Pelodiscus sinensis: one gene and its partners. The protein of the gene in region 1 interacts with the protein of each later gene in a pairwise test. Links are inferred from orthologs where the notes say so. Each region holds a gene or a part of one and is shown in the gene's direction. Other genes may lie near its edges.

Evidence for each region.
Region 2: the proteins of PPP1R18 (region 1) and TEX11 interact in binary tests that used the Homo sapiens proteins (3 or more experiments, as listed by UniProt). The two-hybrid records come from large-scale screens. The link is inferred for Pelodiscus sinensis from reciprocal best matches to the Homo sapiens genes PPP1R18 and TEX11.
Region 3: the proteins of PPP1R18 (region 1) and STX11 interact in binary tests that used the Homo sapiens proteins (3 or more experiments, as listed by UniProt). The two-hybrid records come from large-scale screens. The link is inferred for Pelodiscus sinensis from reciprocal best matches to the Homo sapiens genes PPP1R18 and STX11.
Region 4: the proteins of PPP1R18 (region 1) and MID2 interact in binary tests that used the Homo sapiens proteins (3 or more experiments, as listed by UniProt). The two-hybrid records come from large-scale screens. The link is inferred for Pelodiscus sinensis from reciprocal best matches to the Homo sapiens genes PPP1R18 and MID2.

Annotation. Positions count from the first base shown.
Region 1 is NC_134742.1:11,552,968-11,560,488, reverse strand, and holds the start of PPP1R18 (phostensin), read left to right. Parts: upstream 1-4,518; 5' UTR 4,519-4,718; intron 4,719-7,521. Other genes in the region: NRM (nurim), read left to right, coding at 661-863, 1,390-1,566, 2,640-2,960.
Region 2 is NW_027465980.1:262,614-270,494, forward strand, and holds the start of TEX11 (testis-expressed protein 11), read left to right. Parts: upstream 1-4,880; 5' UTR 4,881-5,011; intron 5,012-5,021; exon of another isoform or gene 5,022-5,146; intron 5,147-7,881. Other genes in the region: nuclear cap-binding protein subunit 2, read right to left, coding at 1,737-1,835, 3,105-3,243, 3,598-3,779, 4,511-4,597. UniProt on the Homo sapiens protein: Regulator of crossing-over during meiosis. Involved in initiation and/or maintenance of chromosome synapsis and formation of crossovers.
Region 3 is NC_134713.1:102,086,185-102,093,450, forward strand, and holds the start of STX11 (syntaxin-11), read left to right. Parts: upstream 1-4,252; 5' UTR 4,253-4,675; intron 4,676-5,076; exon of another isoform or gene 5,077-5,090; 5' UTR 5,091-5,177; intron 5,178-5,210; exon of another isoform or gene 5,211-5,333; intron 5,334-7,266. UniProt on the Homo sapiens protein: SNARE that acts to regulate protein transport between late endosomes and the trans-Golgi network.
Region 4 is NC_134723.1:1,581,405-1,588,364, forward strand, and holds the start of MID2 (putative E3 ubiquitin-protein ligase MID2), read left to right. Parts: upstream 1-3,945; 5' UTR 3,946-4,071; intron 4,072-6,960. UniProt on the Homo sapiens protein: E3 ubiquitin ligase that plays a role in microtubule stabilization. Mediates the 'Lys-48'-linked polyubiquitination of LRRK2 to drive its localization to microtubules and its proteasomal degradation in neurons.

The DNA of each region.
Region 1 (7,521 bases):
CTGGGGGAGACCAGGAGGAGAGGGTGCAGGAGAGACCTGGGGGGAGACCAGGAGGAGAGGGTGCAGGAGAGACCTGGGGGGAGACCAGGAGGAGAGGGTGCAGGAGAGACCTGGGGTTGAGACCTGGAGGGAGACCTACCTGGGGGAGGGGAATTAGCAAGGGAGACCAGACCTTGAGGGAGACCCTGGCGGTTGGGAGGGGAGGGTGCCCCAAAGGAGACTCCTGGTGGGGGAGGAGTTTGGGAAGAGAGACCTAGAGGAGATCCAAGGCGGGAGTGGAAAAAGGGAGGAGACCCAGGGTAAGCCCCTCCCTGGAGGCTGGTCTCTGGGGAGACAGGGTGGATCCTGGGGAAAGCTCCTCCCAATCCGGGGGTTGTGGGAATAGTGGGGGCTGCAGGAGAGGGGAGACCCAGGTGAAGCAGAGTGGGGAGAGGTTAGGGGGGAATGCCGGAGAGCTGGGACGGGGGGCAGAAGCCATGGGCAAGGCAGGGTGGTTAAGCTGGGTCCTGCTGGGGCCTAGGGCAGGAGCTGGGAGCAAAGAGGGAACTGGGGGCAGAGGAGGGAGCAGGGCTCTGGGGGAGAGGAGGGGAGGGACCCAAATGGGTAGCTCATTCCTGGGTACTTTCTGCCTCCCATTAATCATTGTCTCCCCCTTTGCAGAGGCCTCCCCCAGCCCGCAGTGGGGAGCTGCCCTGCAGGACCCCCGGGTACTGCAGCCCCTGGCCATGGACCTGGGGCTGGTGATGCTGTTTGTGCTGCAGCACAGCCTCATGGCCACTGCGCTGGCCAAGCGCTGGACTGCCAGCTGCTTCGGGGTGCTGCAGCGATCCTTCTACGTCTTCTGCACCTCCCTGGCCCTGCAGGTACCCACTGGGGGAAGCCCTGGGCTGGGCTAGGAGGGGTTGGGAGTGAGGGGCACTGGCAGAGCTAGACTGTCAGGGGCTGCAGGTCGGGAGTGAGGGGAGCTCAAGGCAGAGGGCTGTGGGTGGGGGTTGAGGGGCACCGGAAGAACTGGGGGGATCCCAGGGTCTGGGGTAGCCAGGCTATGTGGGCACTGGCGGAGCTGGGCTAGCTGAGGGCTGTGGGTTGGGGCTGAATTAGGGCACCAGCAGAGCTGGGGGTGGGGCAGGGGGCAGGGCCAGACTAGCCAGGGGCTGCAGGTTGGGAGTGAGCGATGCTGGGGGCACTGGGCAGGGCTGGCAGGGGCTGCGGGTCAGGAGTGAGGGGCACCGACAGAGCTGGGGGGGCTAGTAGGTAATGGGGGGGCGGAGCCCAGGGCAGGGGGCTGTGGGAGGAGGTGAGGGGCACAGGCAGAGCTGGGGGGAGCCCGAGGCTGGGTCGGGACTGAGGGGCACCGGCAGAGCCATTTCAAATGGGGCTCCCCCGCAGCTGCTGATGCGGTACTGGCAGCCCGTCCGGCACGGCCCCCTGCTCTGGGACGCCTGCACGGAGCCCTGGGACACCTGGGTCCCGCTCCTCTGCTTCATCCTGCACTTCATCGCCTGGCTGGTCATCTTCAGCGTCATCCTCATCTTCGACTACGCCGAGCTCATGGGAGTCAAGCAGGTATCTCGGCCCCACGCAGCCAGGGCTGGAGAGGTGCCTGGCTCAGGAGGGGTGTGGAAAGTGACATGGAGCCTTTCCCCCTCTAGGGGGCGCCAGATCCAATGTGGCTCCGGCCTGGGGGACTAGCTGGCTGTGAAGGCGACATGGAGCCTTTCTCCTCTAGGGGGCGCCAGATCCAATGTGGCTCCAGCCTGGGGGACTGGCTGGCTGTGAAGGCGACATGGAGCCTTTCCCCTAGGGGGCGCCAGATCCAATGTGGCTCCGGCCTGGGGGACTAGCTGGCTGTGAAGGCGACATGGAGCCTTTCTCCTCTAGGGGGCGCCAGATCCAATGTGGCTCCGGCCTGGGGGACTGACTGGCTGTGAAGGTGACATGGAGCCTTTCCCCTAGGGGGCGCCAGATCCAATGTGGCTCGGGCCTGGGGGACTGGCTGGCTGTGAAGGCGACATGGAGCCTTTCTCCTCTAGGGGGCGCCAGATCCAATGTGGCTCGGGCCTGGGGGACTGGCTGGCTGTGAAGGCGACATGGAGCCTTTCTCCTCTAGGGGGCGCCAGATCCAATGTGGCTCCGGCCTGGGGGACTGGCTGGCTGTGAAGGCGACATGGAGCCTTTCTCCTCTAGGGGGCGCCAGATCCAATGTGGCTCCGGCCTGGGGGACTGGCTGGCTGTGAAGGCGACATGGAGCCTTTCCCCTAGGGGGCGCCAGCTCCAATGTGGCTCCGGCCTGGGGGACTGGCTGGCTGTGAAGGCGACATGGAGCCTTTCTCCTCTAGGGGGCGCCAGATCCAATGTGGCTCCGGCCTGGGGGACTGGCTGGCTGTGAAGGTGACATGGAGCCTTTCCCCTAGGGGGCGCCAGCTCCAATGTGGCTCCGGCCTGGGGGACTGGCTGGCTGTGAAGGCGACATGGAGCCTTTCTCCTCTAGGGGGCGCCAGATCCAATGTGGCTCCGGCCTGGGGGACTGGCTGGCTGTGAAGGCGACATGGAGCCTTTCCCCTAGGGGGCGCCAGCAGGGATCCAGCTCTGCTCTGGAGCAGGGCGTGTCTCAGCTCTGCCCTTTGCCCCTCCCCCAGGTTTATTACCACTGCCTGGGCATGGGAGACCCGCTAGCGCTGAAGTCCGTGCGAGTCCTGCGGCTCTACTCCCACCTCCGCCACCCCGTCTACCTGGAGTTCCTGCTGGTGCTGTGGGTGGTGCCTTGCCTGTCCCTGGATCGCCTCCTGCTGGCCAGCCTCTTCACCCTCTACCTGAGCTGCGGGCACGCCCTGGACCAGCAGGACTATCTCTACCTGCGCGCCCAGCTGGATAAAAAGTTCCTGGTCTTCTCCCGCGAGGAGGCTGCCTATGGGGACCTGCTGGCCCGCAACGGCCCGGCGGCTGCCAAGGAGAGCTGAGGGGCCAGGGCCTCTACCATGCACTGAGGCTCTGAGCTCAAGAGTCCTGCACTAGTTCCTGTAGAATTAGCTCCTCTGAGTGCCTAGCGTCTGCAAATGCCAAGCCAAGCCCTGCTCTAACCACTAGGCTCCACTCCCTCCCAGAGACAGCAGTTCCCAGCCCCCCCCTGCTCTAACCACTAGGCGCCAGCCTCCTTGCATCGGATTTTTAAGTTCAATCCCCAGCTCTGGGAGAGGAGTGGGGGCTAGTGGTTAGAGTAAGGCAGGCTGGGAGGCAGGTCTCCTCCATTCTGTCCCCAGCACTGGGAGGGAAGTGGGGACTAGTGGTTAGAGCAAGAAAGGGTTGGGGAGCCTGGACTCCTGGGTTCTCTTTCCCAGCTCTGGGAAAGGAGTGGGGGCTAGTGGTTAGAGCAAGAGGGGGCTGAGAGGCGGGGCGCCTGGGTTCCATCCCCAGCTCTTGAAGGGGAGTGGGATCTAATGGTCGGAGGCTTGACTTGAGGCTGGGAATCAGGACTCCTGGGTTTTACCCGGCGGCTTTACCCAGCATGTTTTGTTTCGAGCCGCACTTGTGGCTGCAGAAAGAGTCTCTGAAAGTGTGTTTTGAAACACAAAACAACGATAAATCTGTGCAGAATTCAGTCACACACTGGGGAGTGGGGCTTATTCTGGACTTGGCGAATGGCATGTCCCCTGTAGGGGGGCTCGGGCTCTGATCCAACACCAGGGTGGGGGACTGGCTGGCTCAGGAGATTGAGGACTGGGACGTGGCACCTTTCCCCTTGTGGGGGGGGGTCCCTTTTCCAACTCTCTTCCCTAGGAGCCAAAAGCCATTCCCGCCCGCCCACCATTCTGTGCCTTGTGGTTCACACTGACGGGTTCCCGGACCAGTCGTCTCCTTTGGGCACTTCACCGCCCTCTTGCTGGCGGTCTCAGCAGTGAGTAGCAGCCCGGTTGTGGGGTGGCAGGGGCTGAGGGGTGGCTCGTTCTGTGCCCAGGACCCCAGTCGCTGGGCATGAAACTAGGAGTCAGGACTCCTGGATTCTGGTCTAGCTCTGGGAGTGGAAAGGTTTAGAGCAGGGGGCTGTGAGTCAGGACTGGGGGGGTCCTATCCCTATCCCCAGCTCTGGCAGGAGATGGGGGGCCTAGGACTTAGAGCAAGTGGGCTGGGAACCAGGACTCCTGGGTTCGATTCCTGGCTCTGGCAGGGGATCCCAGTGCCTTAACCGGGACCCTTTATTTTTAAGCACCGAAGGGTTTTTTTAACATGGTCGTCTTCGCCCAAAGCTGATAAAGTATTTTTGTATTTCTGATTTTTGTGCGAGCTGAGAGAACTTTTTTTTTCCCAAAATTAAAAAAGAAAAGTCGCTGCTGCTTTTACACACTTGTCTGCCTCCTGTGTTCTCCCCCCAGCTCGGGGAGGGGAGAGGAGTCTAATGGTTAGAGCAGAGGGGTAGCAGGGGGCCAGGACTCCTGGGCTCTCTCCAGCTGTGGCAGAGGAGTGGGGTCTAGTAGTTAGAGCAGGGGGGGGCAAGGAAAAGGGGGGGCTGGGAGTCAGGATTCTTGGGTTCCTTTCCACTCTCCACTTGACATCGAGAGTCATTTGTCCTTTTCCTCTGTGTCCTTAACTGTGAAACAGACCAGAGCTCGGCAGTGCAGGGGACAGACCTGTTGCTATTCCAGAAACACGCTGCTCTGCGAACACTCAAGAGCCTGTGGCAGACAAGCCGGTCGTTGCGGTACTCCCTGCCGGAGGACGGGGTTAGTACGGGCAAACTAGCCACGGCATTGCACTATGGAACAATCCACTGAGCACACTACTGGTTTTATACCACCACTCGCCATTAGGGGGCAGTATTAGTACAGGCACACAAAACAGCGTTTCTCTTGTCTCTCCACTAGGGGGCAGTGTTAATTCAGGCACACAACACAGCGTTTCACTGTCTCCCCGCCAGGGGGCAGTGTTAATTCAGGCACACAACACAGCGTTTCACTGTCTCCCCGCCAGGGGGCAGTGTTGATACAGGCCCACTCCCGAGGGCATTTGCTCCATTAGGGGGCAGTGTTGGTACAGGCAAACTAGTGTGTTTCACTGTGTCTCTCGCCTGGGTGGTGTTGGTACAGGCGAACTAGCTATAGCAGTGGTTCCCAACCTGTGGGTCTGTGATGGTACTATAGGGGGTCCACGGAAAGTTTAGGGAAGGAAAAGAAAAGCAAGGATCGGGCCCACTAGGGGACTGGGATTTTCTGCCAGGCGATATTCACCTGGGGGTCACCGTTCATGACTGGCTGCATGCACACTGCCTCCCACCCCAATCTTGATACCCCAGGAGGCACCATCTGTCTGCCAGCTGCGCTGCTGTTTACGCTCCAGCCCTCTCCCCACTCCTAGTCCCGATCCTCTTTTTTTTTCCCCTCCTCCAGTGCTCCATGGGGCAGAAGCTGCCTTTGGCCAGGAGATTCCCCCTCACTGTATGCTCCGCAGATGGGCAGGGGCTAGAGGGGGAGGGATAGCTCAGTGGTTTGAGCATTGGCCTGCTAAACCCAGGGTTGTGAGTTCAATCCTTGTGGAGGCCATTTGGGGCAAAAATTTGTCAGGAATGGTACTTGGTCCCACTGTGAAGGCAGGGGACTGGACTCAACTGAACCCTTCAAGGTCCCTTCCAGTTCTAGGAGATAGGCATCTCCATTAATTTACCCACTAGGGGGCAATGTTGCTACAGGCTGACTAGCTATCAAATTTCACTGTCCCCCCACCAGGGGGCCATATCGGTACAGGCAAACTAGCTAGAGAGCTATACCCAAAAAAGCTCAGGATCCCATCTACATATTTTGTTTGTCATTAAGATGCAGCTAGACTATTTGTTGTTTTTCAAGTTTTTCTAGCTGTAGCATTTCACTGTCACCGCCTGTAGCAACACCGCTAACTAACTATTCCATTTTAATTTCTAGGGACTAGGGGGCGGTGTCGGGACAGGCAAACTAGCAATAGCATTTCACAGTCTCTACCTGTTGGGGGCAGTGTTGCTACAGGCAAACTAGGTACTGCATTTTAATGTCTGGGGACTAGGGGATGGTGTTGGTACAGGCAAACTCGCCTCAGCCGTCTGTTACATCTCTGCATTACGGGGGCCATGTCACTCTGTCAATGGTTTCAGGGTACCCAGGAGATGGCTAAGATTTTCAAGGGGTCTATTCCACCATTTGAAATTTTTCAGGGTGGGGCAAGGTTGAAACCCACTGCTCTCTGGCAGGGTTTCTAGTCCCTCCCAGGAGGATGGTGGGTTCGGTGTCTGTCCCCCATGGCTGCTTGTAGCCAGGCAGGCAGGGGCCTGGCAGTTCCCAGGCCTGAGGCCGGGGGCTGGGCCTATGACACAGGCCTGCCGGCATGCGTGCGTCATGCATTCCTGCTGGATTAGAGGCTGCAGACAGCTGGCGGGGAGGGAGCGGCCTTCACTAAGGCGCTTGTCTGATCTTGAAGGGTCAGGCAGGGTTAGCGCTGGAACAAGGGAGCAGAGCAGGGGCTCTGTAGGGGGCGCTGACCCCCGGCGCTCAGGGTTGATCCTGACACCCTGGTGCAGTATCGGGCCGGGCGCGGGGGAAGTTTGTAAATATCCTCATGTCCTGTTCCCACGAGGTGCGGTGGCACCGCTGCTGTCCTGGCCTAATTCCCACACAGCTTACTGTAGTCTCGCCCTACAGCCCACCGTGCTTTGCGATTGTAACTGGCCTAGGGAGCCCCCTCCTAAAATGTGGGGCTGTTACTTCTCTGTCCCTCCCCAGAGATGGCTGCATCCCAGGGGAAGGGTTTGGAATTTTTCTGTTAGCCTGCAGCAAGGTTTACATGCTAGGGGTGGGTTTTCTTGGAAGAGGTGCCCTTTGCCTCACCTGGCATGCGGGCGCCTGCCTCTCCTTGTCCTCCTTACCTCACGGAGACTTGGGGTCCCAAATGGTGCAATTCCTCAACCAGACCTCCAGGGGGTGGTGGTGTATTAAAAATCCCGCCTGTTGCTGTGCGACCCTACCAAAATAAAAGTGTCCTTCCCAGGGCTCCCTGGTGTAATCAACAACCCCCCCCCCCCCGTATGCCTGAGAGACCCTACAATAACACACAGGTCTGCACAAGGGCACCAGCATTTGTGTTGCCTTACAACAAATCAGCAAGGGAACCCTACAATAACAAATAGGGTGGTGGGGGGTGCCAGGGCAGGTCAGCCGGGAGCCAGCAACTTCTGAGATGCTGGATGAGGCTGCACATCAATCCGCTGCCATCCACCACCCCCAAGCTCTGACAGCCCAATTTCTACCCCCTAAACCACCATCTGCAACTCTCTGTACCCCTAGAACCACTGAGAAATTGCTCCCCCTGCTTTAAATCCCCTGCGCTCAGAGGTTCTAGGGACCAAGCCGAAATCCTCACATCACTGTCCCCCGATCTCTCAATGCAAATAGCTGGGCACTCCCCAGATCAGAGCCTGACCCCTAACAGCGGGGCTGGAATACTGTGTATGGGGCAGGGCTGAGAACCACCGGACTGAACTGTAAACTCTACATAAGATGGAAA
Region 2 (7,881 bases), on another chromosome or scaffold:
ACCTGATAAGCATATGCTTATCAGTTAGTTGACTAGTCAACTACTCCTTTGCATCCCTAAATAATAACATACAAAACCAGTTGGAGAGCATTTTAATTTGCCTGGACACAGATAGAGATTTGAAAATTGCCATTCTTCAGCAAACAAACAAATCAAACCCCTTCAAAAACAGACTGCAACGTGAAACCACTGAACTGGAATTCATATACAAATTGACACCACCAGAACAGGTCATTACAAAAAATAATTTTCCCCTTTGGGTATTCTCACTTTACCACAGTTGGAAGTGGGCCACATCCACCCTGATCGAATTAGTGCTGATGTAATGCTCCCATCTCTGTTTCTCTACCATCTGATTCTTTCCCTTCATGCATCTGATGAAGTGAGTTGCAACAAGCAAAAACTTTATAACTTGATAAAATGGTTAGACTTTCAAGGAGCCACTGGACTCCTTGTTTGTGCCTGTGTAAGCACTTCTCTGGCAATTACTCCTTAGTTATCAGGGCTGTTGGGTAACTCAGAGTGTGCTTGGAGGCCTGGTTGTGTCCTGCCACTGAATAGGACAGAGGCAGACATTTTTCCCTCTGAAGTTCAGAGGCCTTGAGCTGCTAAAGTATGTGATTTAATGCAAAAGAAGAAACTGTTACAGCACCTCATTATGCAGGAATGCGTTACAGGAACTGTATGCTAGGGTAATTTCCCTTTCTCCAGCTGGAGGACTCAAGAAAGAGCAGTATGCCCTGCAGCTCCTGCTTCTTGGTCTGGCCCCATGATGCTTCATGTGCTCTATGCTACAGGACTTGGCACTACGATGGCAGAAAATGGGGAAACTTCCTGGCATTCACTGATGCAGGGAACTGAGGACTAATTTCGCATCTTAGTACACACAGCAAAGTGTAACTTTACTGGTGATTTCACGAGGTGACAAACCCGCTACTAGCACAGAGTGCAATGGGAAGACAAATGAGGCCAGCACCAAAAGGAAGACCCAGATCACAGCAAACAGGACGACTGCCCCACTGTGGTCAGAGAGCAGCCGACATGCCAACAGGTTGTGTCCCCCAAAAGCCCTGCCACATGCCCAATGGCAATGAAGCGCAAACTGCAGCAGGTACAGGACTTAATGTTTATTTAAAAAACCCAGACACAAACAAAACCACATTGTAATAGTGACGCTCTGCAACAGCAGGCAGCATCACAGATACAGCAAAGACTAAGGCTCTGCAGGGCTTACTGAGCAAAGGGTCCAGAGTTCAGACAAGCACTTGCAAGTGGCCAGTAAGATCTTGCTTTGCTTCCCTAATTTATATCAGGAATGATGCTTTACAGAGGCAAACAAGATTGTAAATTACATATTTTAAACTCCTCCCTCTGTCCCAGAGCTGCACAAGCAGAAAGGCGGGCTTTGATGGCTGTTGTATTTCTCAGAAATCTGTGCTCGAGAGCAACCACAGCTGCAATGACAACTTGGAGGCAGAAGTCTGAGCGGGACATGTCTCACTTATTCTTAGTGAGAAATTCTGCAGCGCTGGCCACTCTATTTTCTTGCTGCCCTGTATCACAATAGATCAGCCATTCCAGCCCAGGAGAGATGAGAAATGAACAAATGTTGAACAGCCAGTCTCGTATTGCCTTTTGCTGGAACCTGGCTCCAATCACACCCCCATCCAAAGAGTGAGGCCAGAGCTAGCTGCAGAGGCTCACCATCCCTCTAGGTACTGGGATAGATTAGTCATTTAGTAGATTACGGTCTGGTGATTGGTTTTCTGCATCTGAATGATTTTGCCAAAGCCACCTCTTCCCACATCATAGTCTGTCCGGTATTCGTCTCGCACCTGGGGCAAAGCAGTAACACAAATCAGCATCTGCACCTGGCTAGACAGAGACATGCTAGGCACCCTCTTCGCATACATTGGTGGTGGGCTGAAGCTCAGATTACAAGCCTTTGCAAGCCCTTAAAATACCTTGCAAAGGAACCATTACCAAGGAGACTGATGGGAAGACCTGACTTTTCTAATGGCGGGGCCATCATTAGACATAATGAAGCAGCAGAGAAGGGCCAAATTCTGTTTGGTTTTGCTTTGCAGTTCATCTTTATGAATCGCCAAAGCCTGAACCTAAAGCTTTGTTCCTCTGGAAATCTGGGAAGAAATTTTAATCTTCTCATAGGCATCATTTGATGATTAAACTAGCTTTAGAACCACACCATCCCCATTATGATCCTGTTTCTCACTCCCCACCTTGATTGCTACACCCTTTTGAGAACACTATCTTGAGAAGTGAGCAAAGCGGTTTGTTTTGGGCCATAGGGAGCTTGGAATGTAGTTTCAAAAGGCATTAAGTACCATGCTCCTACTCTAGTGATCTTAAAATAATTTTAGACTGGCTTCAGTTCATTACTGGGTCTGCCATGGATGACTGCCTTTGTACTAAGGATGTGAATGAATAGTCGGTTAATCTAGTTGGCTACTCGCATTCTGTCCCCGTTGCCTCTGTATCTGAAGCAGCAAGGGGAGGGAGAAGCAGGAGCTGGTGCCACCTGCTTCGGCCCCCCATACCCCACACTGCTGCCTCTGTCCCAGCCCCCCGTGGACAGGGGCTGCTGCTGGAGCAGCCTCTGTCGCTGGCCAGCCTGGGTTGCTGCAGACAGAGATTGCTCTGGGGCAGCCTCCACTGCCTCCTACTCTCCCAGTAGCCTCTGTCCACAGGGAGCTTGGACCCTTGCAGACAGGACTGTTGCAATCCTGCACTGCTGCTTCTGTATCAGAGGGAGCAGTGCAGGGTGGCAAGCAGCCAGCCCACAAGGGGAGCTGGTTTTTAAACAGTTTCTCCTCGCAGACTGGCTCCCTCCTGGCACCCTGCACTGCTGCCTCTGATACAGAGGCAGAAGCGCAGAGTGGCAGGGGGCTCCCTCAGAGTGGGGCCAGATTGCATGGCTGCCGGCCCTTCCCCCCACGGACTATAAAATAGTCAACTAACCGCTAAGAATTCAATTAACCGACAGCTAACATCCCTACTTTGCACTGGATCGGCCAAAGGTAGCTCCACCCATCACCCAGTCCCAAGGAAGGCTGGCTCAGTGCTGAAGCTAGTATTTTCTTTACCTGTCCTCCAGACTTTCCTCTCCCATATTGTCGTCCCTCCTTAAACCCTGCATCCCAGTCAGTCCTGATGATCCGATCATCCAGTCGGGTGCCATTGATATACCTCATTGCATGCTCAGCATCTGCTCTTGTATAATACCTGGAATTTGTTATAAGGAAGACTCAAAGTGTTGTTCAGCTTGTCAATGCCAGCTGCATACAGGGAATGAGAGAAATGACTATATCCACAGCAATGTCAGTGACTGAGGCAGGATGGTAGAGAAATAGCAGACCCTGTGAAGGAGGGAAACTGTTTGGTACTGTGAATGAAAGCTCACAATTTTCATGTTTGCTCACATATCACAGGAGCATTCCCAGCTCCTCCAGAGAGGCCAGATATGCTCTGTAACATGCTGATGTTCAACAGAACTGAGGGGATATAATCCACCCAGGATGCGATTAATCAAAAAGCAGTGGCAGAAAAATTATGGCAACAGAAAACGGAAAAGGATACTCCACGAAGCAGAAGCCACAAGGGGTTTTCTTGACCTTGTCTAACCCCATGACAATCCTCTTAACATCTCCGCATTTGGAGAAGAGCTCCTGGATCTGCTCCTCAGTGGTGTAAAAGGACAGGTTGCCCACATACAGTGTGGAAGAGAGCTTCAGGGCCTTATCCTGTAGGTATCGGCTACCCTGAGAGCACAACAAACAGTAAATGGAAACAGCAACCTACTGTTCAGGGAATGCCTGACCCACTGGTTGTGAAACTGCTACTTCTGCCTGTTTGAGAACCTCCCCCTCCTACTCCAGCAATGAAGTGCAAGATGGCAATCATGGCAAAGGGCATGGGCACTTCTGCCTCCCTCAGGTTTGGGTACTGCACCCTGCCATCTCCTGGGCTGCCATCAGCACCTCAGGACCTGCCCCCTGGCGCTGTGCATCCTGTCCCCCGCCGGTGCTGTACACCCATGTGCCCACCCCCCGGTCCTGTGCTCATCCCCTCAGGCTGCCGCTACGCACCCCTGCCCCCAACCCTTGGCACTGTGCACCCTGCCCCCACCCCTCAGGCCCCGCCCCCTGGCGCAGTGCACCCTGCCCCCACCCCTCAGGCCCCGCCCCCTGGCGCTGTGCACCCTGCCCCCACCCCTCAGGCCCCGCCCCCTGGCGCTGTGCACCCTGCCCCCACCCCTCAGGCCCCGCCCCCTGGCGCAGTGCACCTGCCCCCACCCCTCAGGCCCCGCCCCCTGGCGCTGTGCACCCTGCCCCCACCCCTCAGGCCCCGCCCCCTGGCGCAGTGCACCCTGCCCCCACCCCTCAGGCCCCGCCCCCTGGCGCTGTGCACCCTGCCCCCACCCCTCAGGCCCCGCCCCCTGGCGCTGTGCACCTGCCCCCACCCCTCAGGCTCGGGCCCTGCCTGCGCGCACCCGGAAGTGCTGGTCGCGGTACTGGCTGATCTCGCAGTAGGAGTCGCTGCTGAGGCCGCCCAGCGTGGCGCTCAGCGCCCCCGACATCCCGGCCCGGGACCCGGAACCTTCCAGAAGCAGCACGGGGCCGCCTAGCCGGGAAGGGAAGCGCCGAGCAGCCCATTGGCTAAGCGCCTGCTACTCACCGCGAGGGGGCCGGGCCTACAACCCCATTGGTGAGGGGCCGCGGTATACGTGCGTCACGTCACGGCAAGCCAATCAGCGCGCTAGGCTCGGCCGCCGCTAGCAATAAAATGGTGGCGAGGCACCGCCCACCTCTCGCGCTGGGTCTCTGGGAGCTGTAGTTGTCTGGCTCGCGGCAGGGTGCGCGCGCAGCACGATTTATCCCAGCATACTCCGCGGCGCGAGACGCCGCCTGCTTGGGCGGGAAACGGTGCCTGGCTGAGGTGGCGCGAGGCGAGTGTCGCTGCCCGTGACAGGAGCCCTGCCCGTCGGCGGCAGGTGACCGTGCGTCCCCGGCGGGGCTCGTAGCCCGCCATTGTATGCGCGGAGGTCGCCTTCCTCGCCGGCCTCCCCCGGGAGCGCGGGCTGCGGCCGTGAGGGGCTCGGCGCTCGTCGCCTGGGAGCGCTTCTGGGGTGGGTGACCCGCCCTCGGGGGAGGCCAGGGGAAGCTGAGGGGTGTGGCGTGGGGGGGGGGGTGTCAGGAGTAGCAGTGGCCCTGGGCAGGGCGCTGAGGGGTGTGGAGTGGGGGGGTGTCAGGAGTAGCAGTGGCCCTGGGCAGGGTGCTGAGGGGTGTGGCGTGGGGGGGTCAGGAGTAGCAGTGGCCCTGGGCAGGGTGCTGAGGGGTGTGGCGTGGGGGGGTCAGGAGTAGCAGTGGCCCTGGGCAGGGTGCTGAGGGGTGTGGAGTGGGGGGGGGGTGTCAGGAGTAGCAGTGGCCCTGGGCAGGGCGCTGAGGGGTGTGGAGTGGGGGGGGGGGTCAGGAGTAGCAGTGGCCCTGGGCAGGGTGCTGAGGGGTGTGGAGTGGGGGGGGGTGTCAGGAGTAGCAGTGGCCCTGGGCAGGGTGCTGAGGGGTGTGGAGTGGGGGGGGGTGTCAGGAGTAGCAGTGGCCCTGGGCAGGGTGCTGAGGGGTGTGGAGTGGGGGGGGGGGTCAGGAGTAGCAGTGGCCCTGGGCAGGGCGCTGAGGGGTGTGGAGTGGGGGTGTGTGTCAGGAGTAGCAGTGGCCCTGGGCAGGGTGCTGAGGGGTGTGGAGTGGGGGGGGGTCAGGAGTAGCAGTGGCCCTGGGCAGGGTGCTGAGGGGTGTGGCGTGGGGGGGTCAGGAGTAGCAGTGGCCCTGGGCAGGGTGCTGAGGGGTGTGGAGTGGGGGGGGGGGTGTCAGGAGTAGCAGTGGCCCTGGGCAGGGCGCTGAGGGGTGTGGAGTGGGGGGGGGTGTCAGGAGTAGCAGTGGCCCTGGGCAGGGTGCTGAGGGGTGTGGAGTGGGGGGGGGGGTCAGGAGTAGCAGTGGCCCTGGGCAGGGCGCTGAGGGGTGTGGAGTGGGGGTGTGTGTCAGGAGTAGCAGTGGCCCTGGGCAGGGTGCTGAGGGGTGTGGAGTGGGGGGGGGGGGTGTCAGGAGTAGCAGTGGCCCTGGGCAGGGCGCTGAGGGGTGTGGAGTGGGGGGGGGGGTGTCAGGAGTAGCAGTGGCCCTGGGCAGGGCGCTGAGGGGTGTGGAGTGGGGGGGGGGGGTCAGGAGTAGCAGTGGCCCTGGGCAGGGTGCTGAGGGGTGTGGAGTGGGGGTGTGTGTCAGGAGTAGCAGTGGCCCTGGGCAGGGCGCTGAGGGGTGTGGAGTGGGGGGGGGGGGTCAGGAGTAGCAGTGGCCCTGGGCAGGGTGCTGAGGGGTGTGGAGTGGGGGTGTGTGTCAGGAGTAGCAGTGGCCCTGGGCAGGGTGCTGAGGGGTGTGGAGTGGGGGGGGGGGTGTCAGGAGTAGCAGTGGCCCTGGGCAGGGTGCTGAGGGGTGTGGAGTGGGGGTGTGTGTCAGGAGTAGCAGTGGCCCTGGGCAGGGCGCTGAGGGGTGTGGAGTGGGGGTGTGTGTCAGGAGTAGCAGTGGCCCTGGGCAGGGTGCTGAGGGGTGTGGAGTGGGGGTGTGTGTCAGGAGTAGCAGTGGCCCTGGGCAGGGCGCTGAGGGGTGTGGAGTGGGGGTGTGTGTCAGGAGTAGCAGTGGCCCTGGGCAGGGCGCTGAGGGGTGTGGAGTGGGGGGGGGTGTCAGGAGTAGCAGTGGCCCTGGGCAGGGCGCTGAGGGGTGTGGAGTGGGGGGGGTCAGGAGTAGCAGTGGCCCTGGGCAGGGCGCTGAGGGGTGTGGAGTGGGGGGGTGTCAGGAGTAGCAGTGGCCCTGGGCAGGGCGCTGAGGGGTGTGGCGTGGGGGGGTCAGGAGTAGCAGTGGCCCTGGGCAGGGTGCTGAGGGGTGTGGCGTGGGGGGGTCAGGAGTAGCAGTGGCCCTGGGCAGGGTGCTGAGGGGTGTGGAGTGGGGGGGGGGTGTCAGGAGTAGCAGTGGCCCTGGGCAGGGCGCTGAGGGGTGTGGAGTGGGGGGGGGTGTCAGGAGTAGCAGTGGCCCTGGGCAGGGTGCTGAGGGGTGTGGAGTGGGGGGGGGGGTCAGGAGTAGCAGTGGCCCTGGGCAGGGCGCTGAGGGGTGTGGAGTGGGGGGGTGTGTCAGGAGTAGCAGTGGCCCTGGGCAGGGTGCTGAGGGGTGTGGAGTGGGGGGGGGGGTGTCAGGAGTAGCAGTGGCCCTGGGCAGGGCGCTGAGGGGTGTGGAGTGGGGGGGGGGGTGTCAGGAGTAGCAGTGGCCCTGGGCAGGGCGCTGAGGGGTGTGGAGTGGGGGGGGGGGGGTCAGGAGTAGCAGTGGCCCTGGGCAGGGTGCTGAGGGGTGTGGAGTGGGGGTGTGTGTCAGGAGTAGCAGTGGCCCTGGGCAGGGCGCTGAGGGGTGTGGAGTGGGGGGGGGGGGGTCAGGAGTAGCAGTGGCCCTGGGCAGGGTGCTGAGGGGTGTGGAGTGGGGGTGTGTGTCAGGAGTAGCAGTGGCCCTGGGCAGGGCGCTGAGGGGTGTGGAGTGGGGGGGGGGGTGTCAGGAGTAGCAGTGGCCCTGGGCAGGGTGCTGAGGGGTGTGGAGTGGGGGGGGTGTCAGGAGTAGCAGTGGCCCTGGGCAGGGCGCTGAGGGGTGTGGAGTGGGGGTGTGTGTCAGGAGTAGCAGTGGCCCTGGGCAGGGTGCTGAGGGGTGTGGAGTGGGGGTGTGTGTCAGGAGTAGCAGTGGCCCTGGGCAGGGCGCTGAGGGGTGTGGAGTGGGGGTGTGTGTCAGGAGTAGCAGTGGCCCTGGGCAGGGCGCTGAGGGGTGTGGAGTGGGGGGGGGT
Region 3 (7,266 bases), on another chromosome or scaffold:
TTTAAATTATATGTTCAAATTCTATGATGCATATCAAAATATGCCCTCATTTACTGTAAAAGTAAGTATAAACATATTAATTATAAGCCTGTATCAGTTATTACACACACAAAGCTACATTAAAAGAATATTAATCTTTCCAAATGAAGCACTCAAAAGTTACGAAATGCTAGAATTAACCTGTTTAATTTTACCTGTTACCTGTTCAATTTTTGTTTGACCCCAGATTTAAATTCATAGCAATAGTCTTTAATTACATGGCAAAACACTATCTCCTAGTTTAAAAAAAACCCTGAAAAACAGAAATTCCATCCTGTGGCATCATGTGGACACCCTTATGGTGCATCCACATGTCTGAAATCTTTATATCCATGGCATAAACCTCAGTCACTTGAGCTAAGGTAGTAACTGATGTGCTGCTAACTGGAGAGCCCTTGAGAAAAGGATGGGCCCAGTTCCCCAGCCAACCCTAGAGATGTGGCAAATACCAGGAAAAAGAAAAGTGAACTGCTGGGACAACTTGTTCTGGGAAAGACTTTGTCATGTACCTCCCCAGAAGGGAGAACCACATAGTGACCTGGCTGGAGGGTCAAGTCTTGAACAGGAGGCTGCAGTTTCTGAAAAGAGAGGGGTTCATAGGATGAGCAGAGGATGAGAGAGATCCCACCAGAGAAGAGTGGCCAATAGGATGTAATCCCAGTCTCTACTAGGGATGTAAAATCTTGTACTTTACTTCACATTTAATTGGTTAACCAATTAATGGGAGCCACTCCAGCCCAGATGGGCTGAAACAGACTATTCCCACCATGCTAGGCTTCCAACTCCCAGCCCATGTGGGCTGGGAGGTAACGGCCCTGTGGGGCTGCCCTGAGGTAATGGTTACCCATTTACAATCCTAGTCTCTACTCCTCAGTCTTCTCATTCCAGTCCCATTTGTCTTGCCCAGCCAGTCCTAATCTCAATCTGAGCCTCCCCAACACTAGCTCTCAGTCCTAGTCTCGCTCCCTGTGCACCACACTCAAGATGTTAGTCTCCCCCTACCTGGCTCTTTGTCATACTCTCTTTGCCCAGTCAGTCCTAGTTCTCCTCCTGCACCCCAGTTCCTTGTCAGGTCTGCCTCACCTCCCCCACATTGGTTCTAAGTCTCAGTCTTTTCCCTTTATGGTCTTTGTCAGATCTCTGTCCTCCCTTACCAACTGTCTCCCTTGTCACTACTCTAGCTCATAGTCCCAAGCTTCTCCTCAATTCCAGTCCCAGTTTCACCCATGGCAGTGGATATCAAAGCCCAGGGGAGGCTAAGCCTCCCGTAAACCAGGCCATGGTCCCATCCATGCTGTGCCCCAAGGCCTCACCCAGGCTCTCCTTAAATTGGGAGAGCCTCAGCTCAGACTGGTAGCCAGGAGGTGTGGCAGCTTAGGCTGGTGTAGATGGAACATCCCAAAGGGGATGTTCACCTTCCACCCATGGTCGCACTGGACTCATTCTCCCAATCTTCTCCTTTCCCTTTGCTCAGACTAGCTTTTGTCCTTTCTACATTCAAATCAGATAGGTCCCTCCTCCACAATGCCTGGGTTCAAGTAGCGGGGTTACTGAACACACAGGAAAGACATTGTCTGGACCCATCCCATTTGGAGCAATCATAGTGAAAATCCAGTTTTGCCCCTGAAGCCCTGGCTTTGAGCACTCTTTGTGGGGATGGCACATGTGTAGCCTAGTGCCATGTAAGAATTGTGAGGGGATGGCACATGTGCAGTATGGTATGCAATAAGCATGGTGAGAGACTTGAGCAAGCTCAGTGAGGATGGGCTCTTTATAAATTTTAGCTGTTCAACTCTAGGAAGTCTATACTGAGCAGGTGTGCACTGAGAATTTTTAAAGATTTATAACTTGGCTAAATTCAGGGGGATTTTTACGGGGCTGGCATGTATAATATGAAGGCCAGTTCACTCAAAAATGGCTGAACAGATTTGACTGGAATTTTCTGAAAAAAAAAAAGTTAAACCTGAGAAAATTTCTTCAGTAAAGACCCAATTTAAGGCACAGTAAGTTAATACAACTTCTCTGACTGGGTAAATTACACAAATAGACACACAGCTGAATTTGGCCTCAACTTTTTGGAGCACTGTCCATGCAACACTTTTCATCTTGATTTGACAAATGGTTACGAATCACAGGGGTGATTCCCAGCAGGGGTGGCCCGTGAGGCTAGGCAAAGTAGGCAGTTGCCTAGGGTGCCATTGGCCCGGGTGCCTGATGATGATGTCACGGGGCACCGACGCACCCAGTGATTATGTCACGGCCATTGATGGCCGTGCAGGCAGAGGTGCCAATCGCGCCTTCTGCCTGGAGTGCCAGCTGCAGCAGCCGGCCTCAGGATGCTCCTAGTTCCCAGCAGTTTTTTTCTGCCATCTTGCTGTGTTTGTGTATTGGTCCTACCATGTTTGTACTAGTGAATTCTGGGAAAATCTGGACAATTCTGCCACAATGCTTCAGGCCCTGTTCAATAAGGTATACAAGCACATGTTCTGTGTCAGGTATCTGAGATGTCCCATTTAAGCTAATGAGACTATTCACATTTAAATTCTTTTCTGAATCAGGACCTCAGAAAGGGAAAAAGCAACTGGAGAACATGCACAGTGATTGATTAGTATCAGCAACATGTGGGGCAACATACTGTGGGCTTTGTACTTCACAAAGAGCAGTAAAGCAGGACTAACCAAACTGGTTATACGAACTTAGTTAAGGTGTCTGGTCCACATTGCAAAAAAGATGAACTTGTTACAGCATGATGTATGTCAGCTTGCGCCTCTGGCACAGCAAAAGAGGATTAGTTCAACACAGTTACTATACTTACCACAGTCACAATAGAGTTTTAAACTTATGTGTGTTCAAACAGAAGCCACGTGTACAGCCAGCCACACCAGCAACTCATTACAAGTTATAACATGAAGAGGGCCCAAAAACTGTAGTCTGATTGTCTGCCACTTTTTTGGCAACTGGTGATTGTTGATATTCACTGGGGCAGTTTCTATTCCTTCCCCAATTTCTCAGTCTATCACTTACCACCCTTCTCCTGTATCATTCTGCACTGTACCTCCTACTTCGGATTAGAGATGTGAACGAGTAGTCAACTAGCTGATTAACTAATAAACCTACTCTTATTAGTTAATCTAGTTGACTACTCACATTCCCCCCCCCCCACTGCCTCTGTATCAGAGGCAACAAGGGGGGGGAGCAGGAGCTGGTGCTGGGGGGGAGCCAACTTAAAAGCTGATTCTCTTGAGCACTGGCTCTGCAGTGCCACCCGCCCCTCCTTCGCAGCAGCAGCCCCTGCCCACAGGAAGTCTGAGCTCATCACAGGCAGACACTCTCTCCATGAGCAGCTTGGACCCCCGTGAACAAGGACTGATGCCAGAGCAGCCTCCACTGCCCCACTGCTCCCGCAGCAGCCTCTGTCCATGGGAGTTCAGACCCTCCGCATACAGGGGCTGCGGCCACCCCACACTGCTACCTCTGTATCAGAGGCAGCATCGCAGGGCAGCAGGTAGATGGTCTGCAAGGGGAGCTGATTTTCAAACAGGCTCCCCTCACAGACCAGCTCCTGCCTGGCACCCCACGCTGCTGCTTCTGATATATAGGAAGTAGCGTGGGGTGGCAGGAGGCTTCCTGGGAGTGGAGGTGGAAAGCACCGACTGCGGCCCTGCCCCTGGGGACTATAGACTAGTCAATTAACTGCTAAGAATTCCCGTGGTTAGTTGACTATTCTATTACCCACTATCTAACATCCCTAGATCAGATAGCCTCCACCCAGTCAGGTTCCCAGGAATTCTGGTTCCTCTTCACTGTCTGTAACTTTACTCTTCTCCCTCTCACTGCTTCCTGCCTCCTGACACTCACCTGCTACTTCTCTGCTCTGAGGCTCCTCTCCCCTTTCCGTCCCTCACCCATACCTCTGCTCTGTACCCCCCTTAGTCAGCTCCCCAGCCTGCTCTAGCCTCATTAGCACAAAGGAGGGTTAGAAGAGCCAAGCCAGTCGAGTCAGGGTTTGTTGGCCCCCTGCGCAGCTGGCAAAAGGCCTCTGCAGCCGCAAGAGGGGAGCAAGGAAGGAGCCGTCACTAGGCAATGGCAGGCCCAGCTGCTGGCTACAACCAGAACCACCCACATTTCCTAGCAGCTGGGGAAAGCCCCCCCCCCGCCTGTTCTCGGAAGTGACCCACCGCCAGCCACTGCCTGAAACAAGCCTGCGGGGGAGAGTAGGAGGGGGATGTACCAGTCGCTCCCCAAGTCATCCACGGCTCTGCAGCACACCCTGGGAGAGCCCCGGCCCCCACTCCACCTGCTGAGCGCCGGGCTTCCCCACTGCGCCGAGGCGGCCGCTTGGAGCCCCCCTCCCCCCTAGTTCCCAGCCCGGGCCCTGGAAACCCCCTTAGCCGCCTCCCCAGTGCCCCGCAGCGCTGCATCCCGCGCGCCCGGTCACCGCCGCAGCCTCTGCCCGCGGCCAATGGGCCAGGACGGGGGAGGAGCCGGGGCGGGGCGGGGCGCGCAAGGGCCCCGGGGAACGACCTGCGCCCCAACCCGGCTTGTCAGGTTCCTCGGAGGCAGCGGCGCGTTGAGCCGAAGGACGTGAGCGGAGCGAGCGGCGGGGACTCAGCTCCTCGCCCATCTTCCTGGAGCGGTGAGTTCAGCCCGCCCGGACCGCGAGCCTGCCTGGCCAGCGTCCCCTTGGGGGTGGCGGGGTGCGCTGCTCTTAGCGCCAAGCCCCCGCTGTCGGCCGCTCCCGGGAGCCCCGAGTCTTGCTGCTGTCTCTCAGCCTGCTGCGGAGAGCTCGCTCTTCTCTCGGCTGCGTGGGGTGGGTGTGAGCTGAGCCTCTCGCTTCGGGGGAAGTTGCAGCCTCTGAACTTTGCCAGATCGGACTAAGGCGATGCGCTAGCTGCCGAGCCGGGTGGAGGGGTGGCAGTGGACTAAAGGAAGGGGACGTGGGGTGCCTTTGTGGGGGCAGAGTTTCCCTTTTGTAATAAATAACAAGTGGTTGTTTTAATTGGGAACATCATCAGCCAGTAAGACACTAGACAAGTTCAGGTTTCCTTCAGATTGTGGCACGTTTGGAAACCACACCTCCACGGAAACATTGAAGCTAACTCCTCTCCATCTATCTCTGGGAAGTGATCGAGCCACAGGTAAAGTGCCACTGACCTTTCCAACAGAAGCAAAGGCGAGAACAATGCTGTTGTATAGTAGTGACTCGCTAGTGTTGGAACTTGGAAGGCTGGGTGTGCTTCCACATAGCCCTGTTGTCTGTTTCTCAATAAAGCAACAAGTGTAGAAGGTGCTCGGTGAGTTTATATCTGGCTGAAAGCCATTTAGAATCTTTTTTTTAATGTATTCAGCTGTAATTTCTTAATCTTGTCACTAAGAAGAACAAAATCAGGATCTCCCTGTCTATGTAACCTAACAAATGATAACTTAATTAGCAGTTCTGGCCTCCTATTCTATTCCAAAACCAGGCAATATGTATAATAGGCGTTATATCCAGAATATAAGTCATTTTATTCTCCTTAACCACCCCAGAATGATCCATGGTTCATAAGTGACTGAACTAGTTAGCTTTCTCTGGTACTTCTTACTGATTGCTTAGCATGTATATACTACAAATTGTATGATAGTGGGACAGGAAGTGACCAGAAGACTGGCCTGAAAATAGTAAGTTAAGCTTCCTGTTCCTATTCTTGAAGTTTGAGGTGTCCTTTTTTTTAAGTGTTTAGAAACAAACACACACAAAGGAAAATCAGTGGCTCTAAACATAATTGCACAATGTGAGAACTTAAACAGTGGCATGGTTTTCTGATAATGTTGCTTAGAACTTTAAAGTTTCAAAGGGCTATGCAATTGTGAAGATAATATTCTGATTATTCAGAGAAGCTGAGGCTGAACTTTTATATACTCTCTTATGGTGCCCCCCATACCCATGAATAATTGTTACTCTGCTTCTACTTAAGGCTTGAGAGGAGTAGCTACTGTTCACAGCTTATTGAGTGACCCTATTGAATAGGGTAGGTTTGTTTATGAACCAAACAATGGATTTAGCCAGCTGGTCTCTGTTTTGTTTTTTCCCTTTAGACTAAAATGGTAAAATAGCAAGTGTTATTAGGGTTAGGTTTCTATTAATAATAGAAGTGTGAGATTACCCAGGAGAAGATGGTGTATGTGCCAAATGTTTCAGTTTATTTTCGGTGGTAATAGTAGCTTCTAATTATTGCAAATTAACTGCAACACAGTAACATAAAATCGCATGCATACCACCCTCTCACGAAGGTTAATCATGTCATTGGGTTAGGTTTACTGCTATACTTTTAATGGTAGCTAATAAGCTGTTAAGTTATTATAGGTCTAGATTTTCCAGCAGTATACAAATATTTTTATGTCTGGAGGGGGAATGTGAGAAGGTGTGGACTTCTATTTGACAGAAATGTAACACTGATTTAGCTCTAGTCAAAGTTACTAGTTTCTTTGCATGATTATGGGACAAAAATAGTGTAGAGTTGGGATAATATTATAGTTTATTACAACTATAGTCAGGCACATGTGTTGTACCTGACTCATTGTGGGGAGGCGATGGAGAAAGCAAGATGAATTCTCCATGGATTTATGTTGTTGGAGTAGCATAAATAGGGTTTCCATGCTGCAGGCAGGATTTAAGATTTAAAGCCATTTTTTTTCTTTACCAGGGAAGAGTGGCAATCTGGTAATTTATATGCTTAAATTCACTACAACTTTAAATCAGACATAATTTCAGATATTAAAATAATGCAATCTCTGCTTTCCTCAACTTCAATATTTTTAAACTTTTTTTAATAATGGGTTACCCCAAAAAATGAAAATATTTCCATTAGCAATTGCTGAATTGTTTTCCCTTTCTTAAGTGAAAAGATAACATTTTGCAGGATGATTCCAAACATCTCAACCAGTACCACTAATTCTGGAGTATTTCACTAAATATTTGTATTTGAGAGAGACGTTTGCAACTTGAGACCACATACAAATGTGGGGGAAGCGGCTTTGGTCTCCAATATTTGATTGTCTGAAATCATCTGGGAATCTGATCAGCTCTTCAATTTATGAATTTTTTGTAATAAACTCACACCTGCTTTTTCTTGTTGCTAAATCTCATACATCTAGAACAGGCAGGTGCCCAACATTTTCTTCCTGAGAGATTCCAGAGGGTAGCAACAAACAAAAATTGCCCAAGGGTAGCCTCATATACTCCTA
Region 4 (6,960 bases), on another chromosome or scaffold:
GAAGCTGCTGATCCGTGTGCATGCGAGGGTTCAAAAGCACATGCCTTGGGGTTGGAAGTGGAGAGGAAGGAGGCGCTAAGGAAACCTGGAAAAACGGAGTCATCCAACCTGGAGCAATGGCTCAGTGCTGGAAAGTGAGAGACCATACGAGCCCAGACGATCTCCTGGAACCAAACCCACCAGTGGCTCGGGCCGCGGCAGACCAGGCGTTCTAGAGCCAGGCAAGGTCGCAGAACCTGCCCAGGCTGCGGATGGAGTAATACGAACATGCTCCGGAACCCCGGGTTCTAATTCTGGCTCTGACTGATTCACGAGGGGACCCCGGCAAGGCGCGTCCCTTCTCTGCCCCAGGGCCCTGTCCATGCAGCGGGAGTCCTGGGCAGTGTATTGAGATTGTTTTGTTCATGCAGGGCGCCCAGGGCCTGGCACAGGCAAGTACCCGCAGTCTCTGCTGAAAACCACCCCAACAGGACTCCACTGGGCGAGCCGGTGCCTCCGCGGCCCCGAGGGGTCGACGCTGCATGTGACTCATTTCCAAACCGTTACCGGGGCAGGGCAAAGCCCGGTGGGGGTGGCACACGCCCTCCCCTCCTTGGCCATCTGCTTTTTTGTTTTAAACAGGAGAGCGAACAGACAAGCTGTCTGCACACATTTGCCAAAGATGGCCCCGGCACTTCCAGCCCCAGTGCTGCCGGGATCCAGCTGCGCGAGGGAGCACCTTTCAGCCTGACAGGGCCCTCTCCCCCGTCAATCGCGTAGGGAAACGGCTTGCGAACGGAAAATGCCTCTTTCGCTTCAGGGTCCCCAGAGCTCCGTAAAATCTGTCAGGTGAGCACGCTGGTGTCTAAGGAGGAATCCACCAAAGGCGGCTCTGGGCCCAGGCAGCGCTTCATGAAGGACCACGGAGAAATGAACAGAAACTGGGACAGCGCAAACCCTCCCTCTTTGGGAAGCGCAGCAAGGGAGGACATCAAAGGAGAGCCGCCGGAAGGATGCAAAACCCTATTGATCTTCCCTCTGCCGTGCAGCTCCATCCTAATGGACGGCAACCCGCCGGCACGGGGTGAGCCGCCGCTCGGCAGATGGCTCCCCAGCAGGGGCGAGGCACACCCGCACACATCTGTCCCCGGCGCTGGCTGGGGAGTGGCGAGGTTTCCGGCAGATTTCTGAAAGATCTGCACAGATAAGGAGACCCACACACACGCTCTCCCTCCTCCTCACCTCCAACCAGAGCTGCTACTCCGGCTCTCCCTCCCTCACCCCCCGCCCGCGCTGTGCATCTGTCGGCTTGTTTACCTTCCTCCAGGGCGCGGTGCGGCGTGCGTGCCGGGGCTGAGCTGGGAGACCAGGATGCTGCATGCCTGGCTGCTCCACATGCTGCCCGCAGAGAGGGCTGTCTTGGAAGGGCTCCCCCCTCTGGGTCTCTGAGCCTGAGACCCGGCCGGGACACCCCACTCCTCTTCGACACAGTGAGTCTGAACAGAGCAGCAAAGGAAGCCCCCTTACAGCTCGCCCTGGCTTAGAAGCCTGCAGGGCCCATCCCAGAGCCTGTGGCCGCCTTTCTGATTTCCTTGGATTCGTTATTTTCATCACGGCCTGGCTTGTGCCTGACTCGTCCCCCGAGTCCATGCTGCGATCACAGGGCCTTTTCTCCCCCGCCGCGTTGCATTGCCACTGCTTAGACCAGGCTGTGTCCCACATCACCCCTCTCCTCCTCCCAAGCTGGGCAGGCCCTCGCCCACCGAGACAGACCAACAGAGACACAGCCGGCCCGCCCGCTGCCTGGCTCCTTGTGAGATCATTCACGCCCGCTCAGCGCACAGGATGGGCCGGGATTCTCACCCCGGCGAGATTCCAGTGCGACACGACGGAACGCGCAGCGTGACGCACCGGTGGCAAGGGGAGGCGAACCTGGCCCCGGCGGCGGCTGGGCATCTCCCTCCCTTCACATCCTGGCCCAGAGCAGTTCTCGGTTCGCTTTGGTGCAGGGGGACGGACCCGCGGCCGCGACCGCGCTGCGGAACCCTAGCGGAGACGCAAGAGACGTTAGGTGAGGTCTGAGCAGGGATGCAGAGCTGAGCTCACCAGCCACCTCGTCTCACTGTGGATTTCACAGCAGGTAACTAACACACATGAGAACAAGCCGCCCTCCCCCATGTTTGGCAGTGCGGCCATAGCCACTGCAAGCTAATGGCACAGCTGGGCCCAGAACCGCTCTGCATGCAAAGTCTCCTTCCTAGAACGATCCCTCCCGCCCACTCGAACAAGGTTTGCCCAGAGGTTCCCTTTGCCCTGCACGGCCCCATTTTGGGTGGCATCGTTTCCCGCGACCCGGGCAGAATGGAAGGCGCCACGTTAAAATGGCACCCCCTGCACAATCACGCCTGGGGCACCACGTGGGCAAGGGAGCGAGGTGCAGGGGTGGATGCAGCTGAAGGAAGAGGCTCAGCCGGGCAGGTGTGGGTGGGGCCAGGACAGTGCAGGAGCTGGGCAGGGCTGAGAGAAGGGAAGGGCTTTGTGCGGTTCCACTCACTGCTGGGGAGGAGCTTTGGGGAACTGGCAGGGGCAGGAAGAAAAAAGGAACCAGCAGCCCCTGAGAGCAGCGAGGCCAGAGAGGGAAGGACCCATCTGCTGAAGTGGGGGCCCTGAATACACAGTGGGCCTGGGTGCGGGTTCCCCTCGCAGGGCACGGAGGCCGAGTAGGGGAACGTGGCTGAGCCATGAACTGGATGCTGCATTTCCTGAGGCTGCAAGCGGATGGGGTGACCGCAAACGGCACAGGAGAGGTTGGCCGTGAGTTCATCCTCAGAGTCCTGCAGGTGGTGCCTGCCGGCAGTGAGCGGTCCCCACGGGGACGTGCCCGGCTGTAGAAGGGGGGCCTCCACACCCGGGGGAGCGTCACGACCCAGGGATCTCACCGGGGCTGTGACCCATCACCTGGGAACTGCTCACGACCAGGAAAGAGGCAGAGCCCAACACACACTCTGGGCGGGTACAAGTGAGCTGTTGGGTGGGGGAGCAGTATTCTGTCTGTAGGGTGCATTTCCCCCTTCTGCGCCTGCCTGGTGACTACAGCGGCCTGCTTACCCAACAGCAACCGCAATCCCAGCCGAGCCGGGTCTTCCCAACGTACGAGACGCACCCAACACCCTTCCTCAGTTTCTGACGAGAAGGGGAAATAACCTCGCGCTCAGCTCGAGCTGCAAACGGAAAAGCAAACACATCGAAAGTGTCAAGACAAAGAAATTGAGTCTCAGCGTCTAGTGTCTCCTCCCCTGGAATAATGAATGATAATAAAAACCAGCTCCACAGGTCTCTGTGAAGGCCTTGGCCTGACAGCGGGTGCAACTAGCTACCTCGGAAATGGACTTTCCTGGGGGCAGGGGGAATGGCCTTCACGGCCCCTTTACACCCTGCTCTGTGCCGGGGGGATTGCTAGGAACGCAGCCCCTGAGCCACCCTGGGCGGTTTCAAGGGTTATTAGCTGAGCCAGCGGCCCTGTGGAAGCCTCGCTCCTTCATTGTGGCCAGAAGCGAGTGGAGCGTGGTCCCCGCCGAGGTGGACAGACCGGGTGGGCGGGGTGACCAGCCTGCCCAGAATAGCGGCAGTGGGGCCTTGCTGCGGGGCCTGCCTGAGTTTGCAGAGCGCCTGAGACCACAGCTCCGAGGGGAACCGGCCCCTCTTCCCGCAGGCACCAACCGCGCCGCCAGCCGAGCTACGGGGAGGGCGAATGGCCAGCGCGCTGGGGGAGGCGGGCCGGGCCGGGCGCGGCCGGAGGGGTCCCCGCAGTGCTGGCCGGGAGCCGCGGAGAGTCGGCGCTGGGCGGGGGCCTGGCCCGGGCAGGTAGCGGCGGGGCCGGTCTGTGCCAGGTGCGCGCGGGGCAGACCCGAGGCTGGGAGCCGCCGGCTCCGTGCGCCCTCACCTGCGGGCGCGGAGCCGGGAGGCGGGGCGGGAGGCGGCGCTGCTCTGCCCTGCCTCCCCGCTCGCCGCCGCTCGCGCCCCGGCCGGCGCTGTCTCTCCTGCGCCTCCAAGATGAGCGGGCAGCGGCGGGGCGGCTGCCGGATCCCGCTGGTAGGTCGGGGCGGGCGCGGCGAGGGAGGCCGCTGGGGCGTGGGAGCGGGCGGGCAGCGCCCCCCAGCCGGCTCCCCGGGGCAGCCCCCGGCCCGGGCCCGGCTCGCTGCTGGGGCGCAGGGCGAGCGAGCGGCGCAAGCCGGTCCCGGCCCGGCAGCGTCCTTGGGCGCGGGGCAGGCGGGGCGTCCTAAGCCTGGCCTGGGCCGGGCCTGGAAGGGCGGCGGGGGCAGCACCCCCGTGCGCAGGGCTGGCGGGTCCCAGAGCATGGTCACCGCCCCCCCCAGGCCTTTCCCCCCGTGCTCTGCCAAAGCTGCTCGGGATCTCCCTTGGCGGGGAGGAGAGCGGTGGCTTGGCAGCCCCCCCCCCCCCCCGAAGCGGCTCCCCCCATTCGCTTGCCAGGTCTCCTGCCGGCTGAGAGCAGTGAGGGGGGGGCCGTGCTGCTCTTCACATCTGGATCTTGCCCCTCACCGGGCTCAGCTGCCCCCCCCCCCCGGTGCACAATAACAGATGCACGGCCTCTGTCCCGGCTGGGCTCTGGCCTGTCCCCTCTGTAAGCCTGGGGGTCTGTGCCCGGGAGCCCTGGGTCCATTCTGGGCAGCAGGGTGGATTGGCGGGGGCTTCGGTGGCCACAAAGTTTAGTTCGGGGGGGGGGGGGGGAGCTCTGCTGTGGACTCCCAGGCGGAGCCGGGTGGGCGCCCGCGGGCACACCGGGCAGGCTCCTTGGCGTTCTGCACAGTGACGCCGGGGCTGGTGTTGCTACCGATGTTTTGCTCTTGTTTTCGATTGACTTTCTGCTTCTCCCGGGGAGAGCTCTGGGCTGGAAGCGCAGCGTGCGGGTGGAATTGCGAGGCTGGCAGTGGCGCTGGGTTAGCGCCGGGGTAACGCCTGGCTGGCGAGCTTTGTGGGGAAGCACAAGGTGTATGTCTCAGCTGTTCCGCGTGCGACTAGCCTGCTGCTATTGATCTGCGCAGCGGTGCCGGTGCTTGGCGGCAGCGCTCTCAGCGGGGCTGGGGGTTTGGCTTGCAGTCGGTGCCTCTCAGTTCTCTCCAGCCTCGGTGTGTTGGGATGTTCCTGGGCTAGGCGCTGCCTGTTCCTGGGGGCTGCGGGTGTAATGCCTCCTCCCTAGGGGACAGGCGTTCTGCAGCTGTGATTCGGTGGTTGTTGGCAGTGACTTGGCTAGAACTGCCCCACTCCAGGAGCTGCCGTGGCTTAGCCCACTGGTAGCCTGGCCCCCCTACAGCTCAGGTGGGGTGGATTTCTAGACTGTGTGGCCCCTACCTGGGTGCAGGGAGGACAGCATGCTGGGGGAGCGGAGAGCAGTGCCCGCGGCTCGTACTGGGGACCGAGCCAACTTGGGCCTGGGTTTGAATGGCGCCTTTTTCCTACGAATAATATTGAACACCCCCGTCTCGCTGCTGTAGAACAGGCCGAGTGCCCTGTGGGCAGCTGGCATTGGAGTCCTGCTCAGCAGCGGGGAGGCGAGAACATTCCCCATGCAGCCGATGACGGGCGGGTTTGAAGGTGGCAATGGTGAGCTGCCTCGGTTTCCTCTGGGCTGCTTTGTGCCGTGTCTGTCACTGCTGCTGCCCAGAAGTTGTTAGGAATCTGCTTGTGTTGCTTTTCCCTTGGCTTCTCCTTGTAATGAATAAATAATAAAGGCTGCTCAGCACTGACGAAACGCCACAACCTGCCTCCCTACGACAGCACAAAGCACACAAGTGACAGGAGCCGCGCGCGGGGTGACGAGCCCGGAGGAGGGTTGCACGGCGTCCCAGAGAGGCGCTGGGGCTTGCTTGGGCGCGCCCGAGGTTTACACACAATGCCGACCAGTCTGTGCCCGCAGCAGCCTCGTGCAGGGCCAAGGGAAAGCTGCCTGCTCTGCTAAGAGTTACCCTGCCGGGTTTGGGAACCTTGCTCTGCTGAAGCTGCCGCTGCTGCTGATTGAGCCCAGCCGCTGCAATAGCCCGTTTGCATGAATAATGGGATCCGACAGCGTCCCCGGCAGAGGCACGACACGCTAAGTGACTGCTAACTGTTCTGTGTGCAGACAGACATACGTGTGCGAGAACACGGGCTGGCTCGCGATTGGCGTCTGACTCTTAAAAAAAACGGGCTGTCGTTTTGAATCATGCGGAGGGCGGGGGGGGAGGTCACCTTCCCCAGCGTATTTTTGCTCCTAAAGGTTGGCGGATGTTTTGGTTTGTTTTGGGGGAGGTGTCCGCTCCCTGCTGGGCGTTCCTCAGTCTCTTCTGCGTGTCCTGGTCCACCTGGCATGTCTCGGGCCGGGAGGAGAATTGTCCCACGGCGTGTCCCGGGAGGAGCGTTTTGGGCAGGCGGGTGCCAAGTGGAAGTGCTTTGGTTTTCACGAACGCCGAGCAGCCAGTTGCAAGCGAAGGCCATGCTGGCAAGAGACCGGCCCCTTGGGGTGTGGGTGCCTCCAGCCCGGCACTTGACACTGCTAAAAGAAGCCAAGACCGTTCTCTGTCCTGGGGGGCAGGTCTGCTGCGGGGGGCGAGCCATTGCAGCGTTGCGGGGCGGAGCACAAGGGCAAGGCAGACGGGCGCGTCGGAGCGGAAGCGTGTACGGCTGAGTTCTGCTCACGGTGAGACGGGCTTAGATCTGCACGTTGCACTGCCGTGAACGGATGCCACTGACCTCGTGACCCAAGATGGTCCTTGCCGCAAGCCAGCGAGCCGCTGGAGCCTCCTCCTGGGGTATTGAAACCCTGGTGCGGTTTGGGGGGGAGTGCAGACCCCGAGCTGCGGTGTGCCTGGGTCTGGCCCTTTGGCTGGGCTGCCGAGCTGCGAGTCGCGTCGCTTGCCAGCCCCTCGCAGCCAGCTGAGCGGAATGCTTGTCAGCTGTGCTGCTTTGGCTTTCGGTCTCATTCGA